Linked DNA regions of Macaca mulatta. The protein of the gene in region 1 interacts with the protein of each later gene in a biochemical or structural test. Links are inferred from orthologs where the notes say so. Each region holds a gene or a part of one and is shown in the gene's direction. Other genes may lie near its edges.

Region 1 (4,146 bases):
TTCCCAGCCCTGCCTGGAGAAGACCCTGGGCTAAGGGCAAGGCTCTGGGAGGACCCTGAAGCCCTCACAGCCTGGACCTCAGTGTCCAGAGCCCGGGTGCCGAGGGAGGGAGCCTCTGGAGTCTGGGGGTGGGGGGCGGGGCCGGCAGGCCTCTCGGTGCGGCCACCCGCCCATGCAGACCAGCTGCCCGCCTGCATGCCCGGGCCAGCCCAGAGTGGTGCCATTGCCCATGTGCTGCCCGGAATGCGGGCCACTGACCCGCTCCTGTCACCCATTCGCCCCAGGTGGTGCAGAGGATCAAGGCTGTGGAGGGGCAGACCCGGTTGCTGGTGGTGGACCAGGAGACAGATGAGGAGCTCCGCCGGCGGCAGCTGACCTGCACTGAGGAGATGGCCCAGCGAGGGCTCCCGCCCGCCCACGACCCCTGGGAGCCAAAGCCAGACTGGGCACACATGGGTGGCCGCAGCTCCGACGCTGGCAAGAAGGTATGGCGGGCTTGGCCCGCAGGGACCACCCTCGCCTCTCCCAGAGGCTCTCTCGGCTTTCGACGACCATCTTTGCCTCTGATCACCTCCAGAAGTCTTGGTCTCTTCTGCCTTTTGGGGCCCCTTTTCTGCCCCAGGGACCATCCTGTTGGCTACTGGGGGCCACTCTTTCTACCCTCAGCCTGTGTTTTAAACTGGGTAGGGTCAGGGCAGCCTAGCCTGTTCCTGTTCTCCAGGACGCTCCAGAGCCCCTTGCCCTATCGAGGGGTTACTGTGACAAGCTGCCGCCTCCCCAGCCCCCAGCCTCATGGCTGAGGAGCCCTGGGAATAGACATTCTAGGTCTGCATGTGCCCAGCTCCGTGCCTGTGTTGGGTGTCATCCGTGGCTCTGTCCTTGTCTCTCTCCAAGGAGCCTGTGTGCTGGGAAGGCCTGGGAGAGGGCTGGCCGCCTCTGCAGGTTGGGGAAGCCTAGGAGGCCACTCTGCCAGGCCTGGCATGGGTGGGGCTGGGAGCATGGGAGTGGAGTTGGGGGGTCCAGGTGGCTCCAAGGTGAGCCCACTCCTCCCCTAAATATAAGGGAGGGCCCTGGGACCCTGTCTGCTGTTCCTTCTGGGCTCCTGCTGGGTAGCACTTCTTCCTTCCCCTGCCCCTGCTCCCAGCCAGGAGACCCAGAAAAGTACAGGGGCCGCCTGCTCCACCTCCTGCTAGGTGGCCGCTGGGAGGGGCCACCTGGCAGGCCTTGAGGGCTAGGAGGAACAGCCTGAAACTGTGTGTCCTGTCTTCCTGGAGGCCCTGATGGCATTGTCTCCATGCTCTCCTACCTTGTTTTTCATTTTCAAAGACATCCCTGGCCGGGCACGGTGACTCACACCTGTAATCCCAGCACTTTGGGAGGTCGAGGCAGGCGGATCACCTGAGGTCAGGAGTTTTGAGACCAGCTTGACTAATGTGGTGAAACCCGTCTCTACTTAAACTACAAAAATCAGCTGGGCTTGGTGGCGGGCGCCTGTAGTCCCAGCTACTCGGGAGGCTGAGGCAGGAGAATTGCTTGAACTCGGCAGGCAGCAGTTTCAGTGAGCCAAGATCCTGCCACTGCACTCCAGCCTAGGGGACAGAGCGAGACTGTCTCAAAAGAAAAGAAAAGAAAAGAAAAGAAATAAATCCCTTTGCCGGGCGCGGTGGCTCAAGCCTGTAATCCCAGCACTTTGGGAGGCCGAGACGGGTGGATCACAAGGTCAGGAGATCGAGACCATCCTGGCTAACACAGTGAAACCCCGTCTCTACTAAAAAAATACAAAAAACTAGCCGGGCGAGCTGGCGGGCGCCTGTGGTCCCAGCTACTCGGGAGGCTGAGGCAGGAGAATGGCGTGAACCCGGGAGGCGGAGCTTGCAGTGAGCTGAGATCAGGCCACTGCACTCCAGCCTGGGCGACAGAGCGAGACTCCGTCTCAAAAAAAAAAAAAAAAAAAAAATAAATAAATCCCTTCAGGGGATTTGAGTCCAGGGGTTGGCCAGACCCCACTGTGAGAACCGTGCCTGAGGCAGGGGTGTGGGATCTCGAGTTTCTGAGGGTGCAGGGGATCTATACATTCACTTTCTCCCTTTCCCAAGTATCACTCCTGGAGCTGGCTGCGCCTGGGAGCTGAGCCCGGCGGGGGCATGTCTTGGCAGGGAGACGGCATTCCCTGTGGGGAGGGGGCACAGGCCTGGCCATGGGACCTGTGGGACCTGTTTTGTTCCTGGGGCTTGAGGGCAGGCCATGGTCGTGCTCAGGGCCAAGGTGCCCAGCCCAGGGCTGGTTGGGGGGCTGGCCTTGCAGGGGAGCAGGCTGGTCCCAGGCCCCTATCTCCAAGTTGAGGGTTGGGGCCTCCCTCTTTCCCAGGCACCCTGCCTCCCCCAGGAGGAAGCTCCGCCTCTACCTCAGGCGTTTGTCCATTGATTTGGACACAAATGCATGGTTCACCTTCCTGTGGAAAAATCTGGCCCTCGGACTTTATCTGGAGGGTGCGGTGGCCGAGGCACCTTGCCTTGGGTGGGACCTTCCCCCGTCTGCTATTTCAGGCTCTGGGGGCTGCAGGAAGCCCTAGGAGGAGCTTCCTCTGGGTATATTTTTAGAGGAACAAAGGGTGGCCTGAGTGGCAGGTCCCTTTGTGCATGAGTCTGGCTGGGGACAGGGGCTCCAGGAGGTCAGGGGACACCCAAGGAGCAGGGTCTCCCCTTCTGTCTTCTGGCATCGAGACCTGAGGTTTCTTTTTCTTTTCTTTCTTTTTTTTTTTTTTTGAGACAGAGTCTCGCTCTGTAGCCCAGACTGGGGTGCAGTGGCCGGATCTCAGCTCACTGTAAGCTCCACCTCCTGGGTCCACACCATTCTCCTGCCTCAGCCTCCCGAGTAGCTGGGATTACAGGCGTATACCACCATACCTGGCTAATTTTTGTGTTTTTAGTAGAGACGGGGTTTCACCGTGTTGGCCAGGCTGGTCTGGAACTCTTGGGCTCAAGTGATCTGCCTGCCTCAGCCTCCCAAAGTGCTGGGGTGACAAGCGTGAGCCACCGCGCCTGGCTCGAGCCCTGAGGTTTGTTCACCTGAGCTCCCAGCGTGGACAGGAAGAATTGGGGCTCACTGGACCTCCGCAGAGCAGGTTCAGATCCTGCCCTGCTCAGCCTGGGTTCAGGGTGTGCCTGAGATGCTCAGGGAGCCCAGGAGGGCAAAGCTTACCTTGCGGGGATGGCTCCAATGGGGGCGGTGGTGGCAGAGAGGCAGAGCCCTGGGAGGGTATGTAGCTTGGCTTTGGTGCAGGATGGAGAGGGCCCAACTCTGGGTGCCCCCTGGGAGCTAAGGGTGGTTCTCAGTGTCCTCTGTCCTGGCTGGGGATAGGGGAGGTGGGCAGGGGAGGACACTGATGTGGTCAGCCACTCCTTTTGGGGGTCATGAACGCCTAGTTAGTGATGACTCAGCCCTGGGCCACAGCAGGCTGGGGGTGGCCGCAGCTGCGGTGCAGCTGATCCTAGTAGTGATGACAGGGGACGGCCCCCAAACAGAGACGGGTGGCCAGCGGTGCCAGGCCCTAGAGGCTCAGACCCTGAGCCCTCTGCCCCCTGCCCCTAGCCCAGTCTCCACCTCCGTCTGGAGGGCCTTGGGGGCTAAGAGCAGGTGAGGGGTGACAGATCTGCGGGAGGCGGCTGTGTGGTTAGGGCGCGGTGCCTGTGGGGGCTTCCGGGCTCCTATGGCTCTTGTTCCTCTGGAACCTCAGCATGACAGTCCTGTGTTCTGGGGCTGGGACTCCTCCCTGTCCCCCCAGCCCTGGGTCCTGGGGCGGGCAGGGCCTTCCAGCAGCTTCCTTCCTTCCTTTCTTGGGACGGAAACCTAGTTGGGTGGGGGGCGCCGGGCTGGAGCCTTCTAAGGGGAGTGGGCTCAGTCATCACCCTGCTCCCCAGAGTGACTCAGCCCCTGCGTCTCCACCCATCCCCGGGGAGCCGGGGCCGCAGAGGGAGGTAGATAAGTGGGGTGGCAGCCTGGGTCAGCCAGAGAGTTCAGGCCACCCCGGCCGGACGCCTGCCACTCACTGCCGCTGTACCGCTGCCATGGCGCGCTCCGGGAGTGCCACGCCACCTGCCCGGGCTCCAGGAGCCCCTCCACGGAGCCCACCCCAGGGGCTGGTAC
Region 2 (4,673 bases), on another chromosome or scaffold:
TTGCACCTGGGGCAGAGAATTATGACCCCTAACATTGACAGCCAGGGGCCATGGAAAAATGTGTAACCTTGTGCCATGGGTTCCTGCGTAATATCTTCCAGGTGACATTCATATTTGCATTCAAGATCTGTATCTATAGATCTGTATCTGTATGTATGATGTTGTAACTGAAGGACAAGCCCAAACTGGGCTTACTCTGTTGATAACAAAATGTCATGCTGCCCCCAGCATGAGCAATAGAAATCTCCCCTGGAACTAAAATGACTAAGAGACTTGATGGGAACCCGAATGCCAGAACTCTCTCAGAAGCCAGAGGTACAATGGCTTGGAAGATGTGGGGCTAAAAGTCCACCTCAACATACCTTTCTGTATATGGTCACATTTATTTATTTATTTATTTATTTAGAGATGGAGTCTTGCTCTGTCGCCCAGGCTGGAGTGCAGTGGCGCGATCTCGGCTTACTGCAAGCTCCGCCTCCCGGGTTCACGCCATTCTCCTGCCTCAGCCTCCTGAGTAGCTGGGACTACAGGTGCCTGACACCATGCCTGGCTAATTTTTTTTGTATTTTTAGTAGAGACGGGGTTTCACCGTGTTCACCAGGATGGTCTTGATCTCCTGACCTCGTGATCCACCCGCCTCGGCCTCCCAAAGTGCTGGGATTACAGGCGTGAGCCACCGCGTCTGGCCAAACAGTCAAATTTAAAGCCCTCCAATCAGATTCTGTCAGGTCAACATTCCTAAATCTTTTCCCTTGCCTTCGGATCCCATAAATTTACCCCAGGTCCCAAATCGGGGAGACATTTTTTCTTTTATTTTTGAGATGCAGTCTTGCTCTGTTGCCCAGGCTGCAGTGCAGTGGTGCAATCTCAGCTCACTGCACCCTCCACCTCCCAGGTTCAAGCAATTCTCCAGCCTCAGCCTCCTAAGTAGCTGGGATTACAGACGCATGCCACCAAGCCTGGCTATTTTTTGTATTTTTAGTAGAGATGGGGTTTCACCATGTTGGCTGGGCTGGTCTCAAACTCCTGACCTCAGGTGATCTGCCCACTTCGGCCTCCCAAAGTTCTGGGATTAAAGGCATGAGTCACCATGCCTGGCTGGGGAGACAGATTTGAATTCACTCCTGTCTCTTTGCTGACCAGTTTTGCAAACAAAGCCACTACTTTCTCAAAAGCTAGTGTTCCATAGTATTGGCTTCTGCGCCCATGGGGCAGCAAAACCATTTGATTGATAAAAATGTGAAGGCCAGACACAGTGGTTCTCGCCAGGAATCCCAGCACTCTGGGAGACCGAGGAGGGCAGATCACCCGAGGTCGGAAGTTCCAGACCAGCCTGACCAACATGGAGAAACCCCATCTCTACTAAAAATACAAAATTAGCAGGGTATGGTGGTGGATGCCTGTAATTCTAGCTACTCAGGAGGCTGAGGCAGGAGTATCGCTTGAACCCAGGAAAATAACCAAAATGCAACAAACCTCAGAAGGAATGATCCTGCAAACTTCCTGATGAAAAGCTTCAAAGACAGCATCCATAAAGTGCTTTGGGTTTCAAATATAAGCTCAGGTGTTCTAGGCTGGCGAACTCACTAGTTGGAGCACAATGCTAAATGGGGCCAAAAGCACAGGCCAATTACCTTGGGGTGGCTCATCTCACTGGCCACCAGTGACCTCAAAACCCAGCCAGCTTCATTCCAGAAAGCCACGTTGTACACAAGTTGAGGGGGGCTGTTGGATACTGGGGAGAGTTCAGCACAATTCTCACTTTTCTGTGTCTTCTCTAAGCCCAGATGTCTGCTCTCATTTTAATTTTGCATGATCTTGTAATGGCGCCAATCCCAAATCATGTGCATTTAAAATGCCCTAAGCTTCAAAATATACGCTCTCTTTATAAAGTTAACGTGATTGCTTCTGAGTTTTTAGAGAAATTGAATGATTGAGTGCAAAAACACTGTTTAAATCAGACAGCGTGCTATACACATTTAAAAAAATCCCAGTTAAAAAAAAATATGTATATATTGCTTGGTTTCAGAAGAGAAACAGGCCTTTTATTGACATGATGTCAGGGGAACAGTACTAAAAAAACATCAAAGATAGTCACACACACACACACATATCGGGAACACCCTCTGTCTTTCCCATATGCGGTGTGGAAAACGGGGCCAGACGATCCTGCAGAAACTTCCTGATGAAAACAGCCCCGTCAGCCCTTCCCCTAAGCTTGAGGCCGGCTGCCACGGAACCCCATCCAGGGCTCCAGAGCTTCCTTCGCGGCTCCAGGGACGCACTGCCCTGCAGGCATCGCCTGCTTACAACCGACTTCAGGGGCTCACGAAGTACCCTGTCCCCGGGACGCGGCTAGATCCTGGGGAAAACCCCTCCACCCAGCCCCATCTGGCAGAGAGACTCCAGATTAGCAGCTCCGGAGTCACGTGAGCCAAATTCACGCCGTACCCCGGTTCCAAGGTTAACCACCCCTCGCCCCCTCCGCTTCGCGGCCGCGCTGATGTGCCTCCTCCTCAGGCGGTCCTGGGGTCTGCGTCTCCCAAGCAGCTTTCAGGGGTAAAAAGGAGGGGAGCGGGGGAGGGGAGACGAACTTCTTTGTTCTTACGCCAGATAAACTCAGTTTACGGAATTCTCCAAAACTCACTCCCATCCGCAATGTGCAAATATCTCTGATCCTCACGTGGAGGGCGAGCTACTTCATTCATTGAGACTTTCGTGTTCCTGGCCCTAGGCTAAGTATTATCTTGTAGGATCACATTTAAGTCTCCCAGTAACCCCCTGAGGTAGGTGTTATTATCCCTATTCTACAGATGAAAAGAAATGAGGTACTGAGAATAACTTGCCTAGGGTTTTACAATTAACAGATTGGCACAGTTAGGTTTTGAGTCCAAGTCTGTTTTGACCCAAAAGTTCTAAATCTTTGTAACTGTTCTTTATATAGCAGGAATAAAAGTAACAACCACTCCTTGCAGAGCAATTACTATATTCCAGGCACGGTATTTCTCCAAACTACTTTCAGAGGCAGGTTTGTCACTTACCTGTTATGTGACCTCAGGAAGTTTCTTAACCTCTTTTTGACTCAATTTCCCTGTCTGCAAAATGAGGCTAAAAATATGGTTGTCATGAAGAGCAAACGAATTAATATACGTAAAGCCTGGCACACATTCATCCCTGAAATTGTTGCTGTTGTTTTTTTAACCATCATCTCCATTTCACAGGTAAGGAACCTAGCCTTGGAGAGGTGAAGCAGTGAATTAGTCCAGCTTGCCCGGTGCACACCCAGCTGCAAGGACCCGCTCAGAAGTCGTGCGGGATGGGGGCCCGCCGGCAGGTGAATTGCACTTGGCAGGTAGGAGATGAGCTTCTCCGGGGTCGCTGCAGAACGCGCCGCAGCCCGGGAGGCCGCGAATGGTTATCAGCTACCACGCAAGGCTGGAGGTCCGCCCGCTCCGGATTTGCTCGTAGTGCGAGGGCCCCTGCTGTGTGCTGGGGGTTCCCGCCAGGCCCACTCAGAAGCACTCGGGGGGACACCTGTGGGCGGGGCCCAGCTGCCCCGCAGAAGCCCCCGGCCCCGGCCCGCGCGCACACATTCAAAGCCCCCCAAGGCGCGGAGGCTGCCCGCCCTCCCGCCCGCCGCGCTTCAGGGCGGAGTTTCCTCCTCTGCTCATTGTTCACGGCCCAGCGCCCGCCCAGCCCCGGCCCCGCCCTGCCCGGCCGCCGCCGCCGTGGGCGGGCTCATGGGGGAGGGGGAGGGGGAGGGGGAGGGGCGGGGGCGGGGGCGGGGGCCGGCGCGGACGGGACGGGCCAGGAGTAGCCGCAGCCGCCAGTGGGGCCGCAGCCGCGCAGACGCCGCCCAGGACGCAGCCGCCGCCGCCGCTCCTCCGCTGCTGGCTCTGCGCCCCAGCCCCGCTCTGCGGCAGCAGCAGGGAGGAAGAGCCGGCGCAGCGCGACCCGGGAGCCCCGGGCCACAGCCCGGTCGCCGGAGCCACCCACAGGCCTCCCCGAGCGGCGCCCACTCTCCTACCGTCCGGACGCGCGGACCCTCCGCCGGCCCCGCAGCCACCTGCTCCCGGCCCAGAGGCGAGGACACGATGCGCTGCGCGCTGGCGCTCTCGGCGCTGCTGCTGCTGCTGGTGTCGCCGCTGCTGGCCTCCCAGGATGGTGAGTGGCCGGCCCGGGCTCCGCCGGATGCCCCACCGTGTGCGTGTGCCCCCTACCCTGCCAGGTTGCAGGGAAGCCCGACGCGCCGCGTGGTCTGACCCGGAGCAGCCCTGTCGCCGCCGGGGTGATACACGAAGCCCTGACCTTGCACCATCCACGCCCCCTCCAAACTCCACTACGCGGCAGGTGCAGGGCCCGAGCGTGGATTCGTCTCCAGTCTCCACTCGGGAGGAGTGGGCAGTGGATTCTGCCCGGGCAGACAGGGGCGCGCCGGTGCTAAGTGGGTTTGCTTGGGAAAGAAAAGGGAGACAGCACCGCGAGGCTCGACGCTTCTGCGGGACCCTTGGGATCTGATTACACCTTTCCTTCGTGTTGGAGGGAATGTGGGGCTATATTGTGTATTCGTTAATTCCAGGCAAAGAGGCAGGCGAGAAGCTCCCGAGGAAGTCCCTGAAGCAGGTGACAAGCCTCCAGCCACTGTCCACGCGGGCAATGTGCTTACCCGTTTG
Region 3 (4,745 bases), on another chromosome or scaffold:
ATCGTTCTGTGTTAGATTCATTCTAGGTACTGCGCATACAGTAGTGAATTCACCAAAGTCCTTGCATGCGTGGGGCTTTTATTCTAATGAGAAAGCCAAACATTAGCCAAGTAAATAATTGTGTATTTTAAAATTATGATGCTATGTTTTAAAAAGTACATGCAAATTAATCAAGGGACTGAAAAAATACTCTGAGAGAATACCACAAGAGGGGCTAATTAAGATTAGGAAGTCAAAGTGGTTCTCTTTGAGAAAGTGATGTTGAAGCTAAGCAACAGTCAAACTGAGAGGGAGAGAGAAGCGCATTTAAGCAGAGGAAATGATGTCTGCAAAGATTGGGCAAATTTGCGACTACAAGAGGCCACCATGGTGGGAGTGGAGAAAACAAAAGTAAGAGCAAGGTCGGATGAGGTTGGAGAGTTGTGCAGGGGGAGATCATGCAAAGACTTTGGAAGCCTGTTTTCCTCCATATAATCATCAGCCCCACAAAGAGGACTAGTGTGAAAAGATCATTCTGATTAATGAGTGGTAAAGAGATAGGGAGGGCTGCGAGAGGAAGCAAGAAATGCAGCAAAAGGTAAGAATTAAGATAAAGAAATGATGGCTTTGGGATGTATTTTGGAGGCATACTCAATAGGGCTTAAGGATGGAATGGCTGCGGGTGGGGAGAAGGTCTGCAAGAGGAAGCGTCAGAGATAGTTCCCAGGTCTCTGATGTGAGTAAAGGGGAATATTCTTTACTGAAATGGGGAAGACTAGAGATGGAGCACATTTGGGAGGAAAGATCAAGAGGTCTTAATCTCAGTATGTGTTGTGTTTGAGATGCCTACGAGGCATCCAAGCAAAGATGTGGAGTAGGCAGTTAAATACGTGGACCTAGAGGGCTGGGGTTAGAAATCTGAATGTTGCTGGGAGCCATGGACTCTTATTTAGGGTAAGAGGGTAGCAAGAGAGGAGAAGGAAATTCAGAACAGAATCTTAGGAAATGCCAAAGAAAGAGTTAGAGGAGAAATTGGCAAAAAGGATGAGGTGAAAAAAAAGTGTGTTAAAACATTTTTTTAGCATTTTAAGAAAAGAAGATTTTAGCCTGGCATGATGGCTGAGGCCTGTAATTCCGGCTACTCAGGAGATTAAAGCAGGAGAATCACTTCAGGCCATGAGTTTGAGACCAGCCTGGGCAACACAGCAATACTCATCTCTAAAATGAATTAATTAGTTAAATAATTTTTTAAATAAGAAGAGGAGTTCATGAAAGAGTAGTCAGCAGGGCCAAATGCTTTTAAGTAAGATGAGAGTTGGAAGTATTCATTGTGTTTAGCAACATAGGGTGTATTGCTCTTAGGAAGGGCTGTAGTGGGGGCAGAAATTGGAATGCAAATATGGCCTGTGGCTGGGAGTTGGGTGAGTGTTCCTAATGAGGGCCTTTATCCTACCAGGAGTTAACCTATACACCACACTTTTGTAGCCCATGACAGATTGCATGGAGTCATCCAGACAAAGAACACCACCACTAAGCTCTCATCGAAACAGGTTGGTAAAATGTCAAGGAGATAACCCTTGAGAAGATTCTTTTTTTTTTTTTTTTTTTAAGTCCACGTGTGCATCACTGTGCAAATCTCTGCAAACCAATGAAATTACATACACACAAGTGCAATGGGTGGTTTAATCTCACAAGGAACTTGAGGAAGCAATTTTCATCATCACTGCTGATCAAAGTCTCAAAGGTCAAGACCACATTGCAGTCTTTTCATTGTTGTAAAAGTTAATGAAAGTTAATTATTAAAGCTGACAGAAAGGTAACTTGTCCTCTGTCTTACATAACCTATATATAGACATCCCTATGCATATGGATGCACGCAGAGCCTGTAGACCTGAGTGGATGGACACTGCCTCTTAGAACTAGAACTTTATCTTGAAAATATATCACTGTTGCTGAAGCTCCTCACTGAGTAGGTGTCAGGTAGGAACCAAATTTATGATTGTTATATTCAAACTGGTTTTCTGTTCCTTGAGAATGGTATTTTTTCTGATCAAGCCTATTTAGGAGTTATTATGTTCTTGAGTTTATTCCATGTGTGTGAATATTTTGAATGAATCCACTAATAAGCTATGCATGTATGTCTGGAGTGCTAGCAATGTGGAATAAATATTTAAGTAGACTTTAATTTAACAAGTAAATGGTTGTAAGCATCATTAAGTTTTAAACAGTCTTTTCAAAGATATTAGTGTTCTTGTTTTAATTATTCAGATAATTCCTTTAATTCTCCACTCAAATCTGACTTTATAGATAGATTATCTGCTCTGAGGGTTGGGGGAAAAAAAAGCAAGCTTTAAGGAAATAGTTTCTCCAGGAGACAGAATCGCCTACTAGAAAGGATTCAGAAAGGCCATCTGGTCCCAGCCAGGCATAGGAGCATGTACCTATAGTCCTAGCTACTCAAGAGGCTAAGGCAGGAGAATAGCTTAGCCCAAGAGTTCGAGGTTAGCGTAGGCAACATGGCAACACCTTGTCTCTTAAAAAAAAAAAAAAAAAAGGGTGGGGGGACATCTGTTCTAGAAGTGAGAAATTTATCTAGATATCCTAGAAAGTCCAAGACTAAGGGAAACAGGGAGAGAAGAAAAGGCAACGAGAGTAAGGATAGAGAATGGAAAGAGAAGAGAGATGGGGAGACAATGGTTACTGGAAAGTAGCAGAGTGCCCTATGCCACAAGTAGTATAATATAATATAATATAATATAATATAATATAATATAATATACTTAGTAATATATGGGTACTTATCCCATACATTACTAACTCTACCAAGGTAAAATCTATTTTATTCTTTAAAATGTCAGGAAAAGATTATACAACTTTCTTTACATATGCAAGTGAGGAACAATTTATCAAATTATTGGACTAAATAATTCTCTTTTCTGAAGAAAGTCATTTGGAAAAATTGTGTCATGAAATTTTACTGCATAAACATCATTCCTTTTTTTCTTTTTCTGAGACGGATTCTCACTCTGTCACCCAGGCTGGAGTGCAGTGGCACAATCTCTGCTCACTGCAACCTCCGCCTCCCAGGTTCAAGTAATTCTCCTGCCTCAGCCTCCCAAGTAGCTGATACTACAGGCACACTCCACTGTGCCTGGCTGAATTTTTTTTTTTTTTTTTTTTTTTTTGTATTTTTAGTAGAGACAGGGTTTCGCCATGTTGGCCAGGCTGATCTCGAACTCCTGACCTCAGGTGATCCGCCCACCTCAGTCTCCCAAAGTGCTGGGATTACAGGCACGTGCCACCCCGTCTGACCAAGGATTATTCCTAATGAAAAATTAGGAAGCAACTAATTTGATTTCAGAAACAAGTAAAATGTGGTAACACAATACATACTTTGCCTTCTCCCTCTGGATAAGGGAATAAGTAAGTATATAAAGAAATGAACAAATGTTTAATACCTCCTAAACAGCTCATATTAGACTAAGAAACAAAATCGTTCAGAAAATGAGAATGAACATTTTTCAATTACAAGAATAAATATGTAATAACACATTCTAGCTCTTCTCTACAATAAAGGTCTTGATTCTCCAAGGAGAAACAAAGAGCCTCCTCTAGCCTCTGTGACACTTTGTTGAGAAGCAAGGGGGAGAATAAAGCAAGTCACCTCAAGGAGATTGGGCCCCAGGCCACCAGGCTCATGTTTTGTATTGTGGATATTGAGTAAAGGAGTGTGAGGCTTTCGTGCTCAAAAGCAAGGACCTTGAAGGTGCCTCACCTTGTTCTTTTGCCTTGTCTCTCTTGGGGATAGGGGCTATGCCCCCTGACATTCAATATGTAGCAGAGAAGAACATGTAGTGGAGACAGTCAGTTATTCACAAGATGTGGCTTCTCATCCTGGCTCTGGAAAGTTGAGAAAGTCATTTATCTTCTCTCATCTCAATTTCTTCAACTGTAAATTAGCGATAATACAGCCTATCTTCTCTGCCTCCATCACACAGTAACACTCAAGGAAGAAAAGTGAAAGTGCTCAGAAAATATCAACGCCTTATAGAAATGGCCAGGGATTCTCTTTTGCCTTCTGTGAGCCTCCTGGGTGTGAAACCCCTTGCTATGGTGCATCCCAGCATTTCTCTAATGGTTTAGCCTATGGGCCAACACAGCCTTCTGTTTCAGTGTTTGGAATTCTCACTATTCTTTGACATGATTTGCTTACTCCCCACTGCTTTGTCATCACCCTTGCCAAACCTATCTGTTCTTTAAAGTCTAACCCAAGACTCAGAGTTCCTTCACAAAACCTTTCCTAACTCCAACCCACATTTACATCCCTTCTTCCAATTTATTATCTGCACCAATTATTGTGGGCACGTCTCCTGTATATGTGAACTTTGGTGTTTAGGACTACATCATTTATATATCTTTTGCTAATAGTTCAGTTTATTTCAACAAACTTTCTTGTATACTTACTGTGTCATAGGACCTATGCAAAAGGGGAAAAAATGGTTAAGATTTGGGCCTTGCCCTTGAAAAACTCAGTCTTAAAGGGAAGAGAAACATAAACAAATAATGACCATACTGTATGACATGGAATAGACACATATACAAGGTACTTACAAGAACGAAATTATTAACTCTATCCAGGGATTCCATGAAGGCTTTACATCATTTTCTTATCTTCTACAACTGTGTTGGGAACTGAGTTCCTGACAAATAATAGGCTAATACATGTTTGTTGAAGGAATGAAGAAATGAATCAATGGTCAGCTGAG

What was found. The genes of interacting proteins can lie anywhere in the genome.
Region 2: the proteins of NHERF2 (region 1) and PODXL form a complex in vitro, tested with the Homo sapiens proteins (3 studies listed by BioGRID and IntAct, with this or other methods). The link is inferred for Macaca mulatta from reciprocal best matches to the Homo sapiens genes NHERF2 and PODXL.
Region 3: the proteins of NHERF2 (region 1) and SLC26A3 form a complex in vitro, tested with the Homo sapiens proteins (2 studies listed by BioGRID and IntAct, with this or other methods). The link is inferred for Macaca mulatta from reciprocal best matches to the Homo sapiens genes NHERF2 and SLC26A3.

The regions. Positions count from the first base shown.
Region 1 is NC_133425.1:3,257,166-3,261,311, forward strand, and holds part of NHERF2 (Na(+)/H(+) exchange regulatory cofactor NHE-RF2), read left to right. Parts: intron 1-284; coding exon 285-485; intron 486-4,009; exon of another isoform or gene 4,010-4,067; coding exon of another isoform or gene 4,068-4,146.
Region 2 is NC_133408.1:171,258,553-171,263,225, reverse strand, and holds the start of PODXL (podocalyxin), read left to right. Parts: upstream 1-1,753; 5' UTR 1,754-3,359; coding exon 3,360-4,164; intron 4,165-4,673. UniProt on the Homo sapiens protein: Involved in the regulation of both adhesion and cell morphology and cancer progression. Functions as an anti-adhesive molecule that maintains an open filtration pathway between neighboring foot processes in the podocyte by charge repulsion.
Region 3 is NC_133408.1:147,411,851-147,416,595, reverse strand, and holds the start of SLC26A3 (chloride anion exchanger), read left to right. Parts: upstream 1-1,825; 5' UTR 1,826-1,959; intron 1,960-4,745. UniProt on the Homo sapiens protein: Mediates chloride-bicarbonate exchange with a chloride bicarbonate stoichiometry of 2:1 in the intestinal epithelia. Plays a role in the chloride and bicarbonate homeostasis during sperm epididymal maturation and capacitation.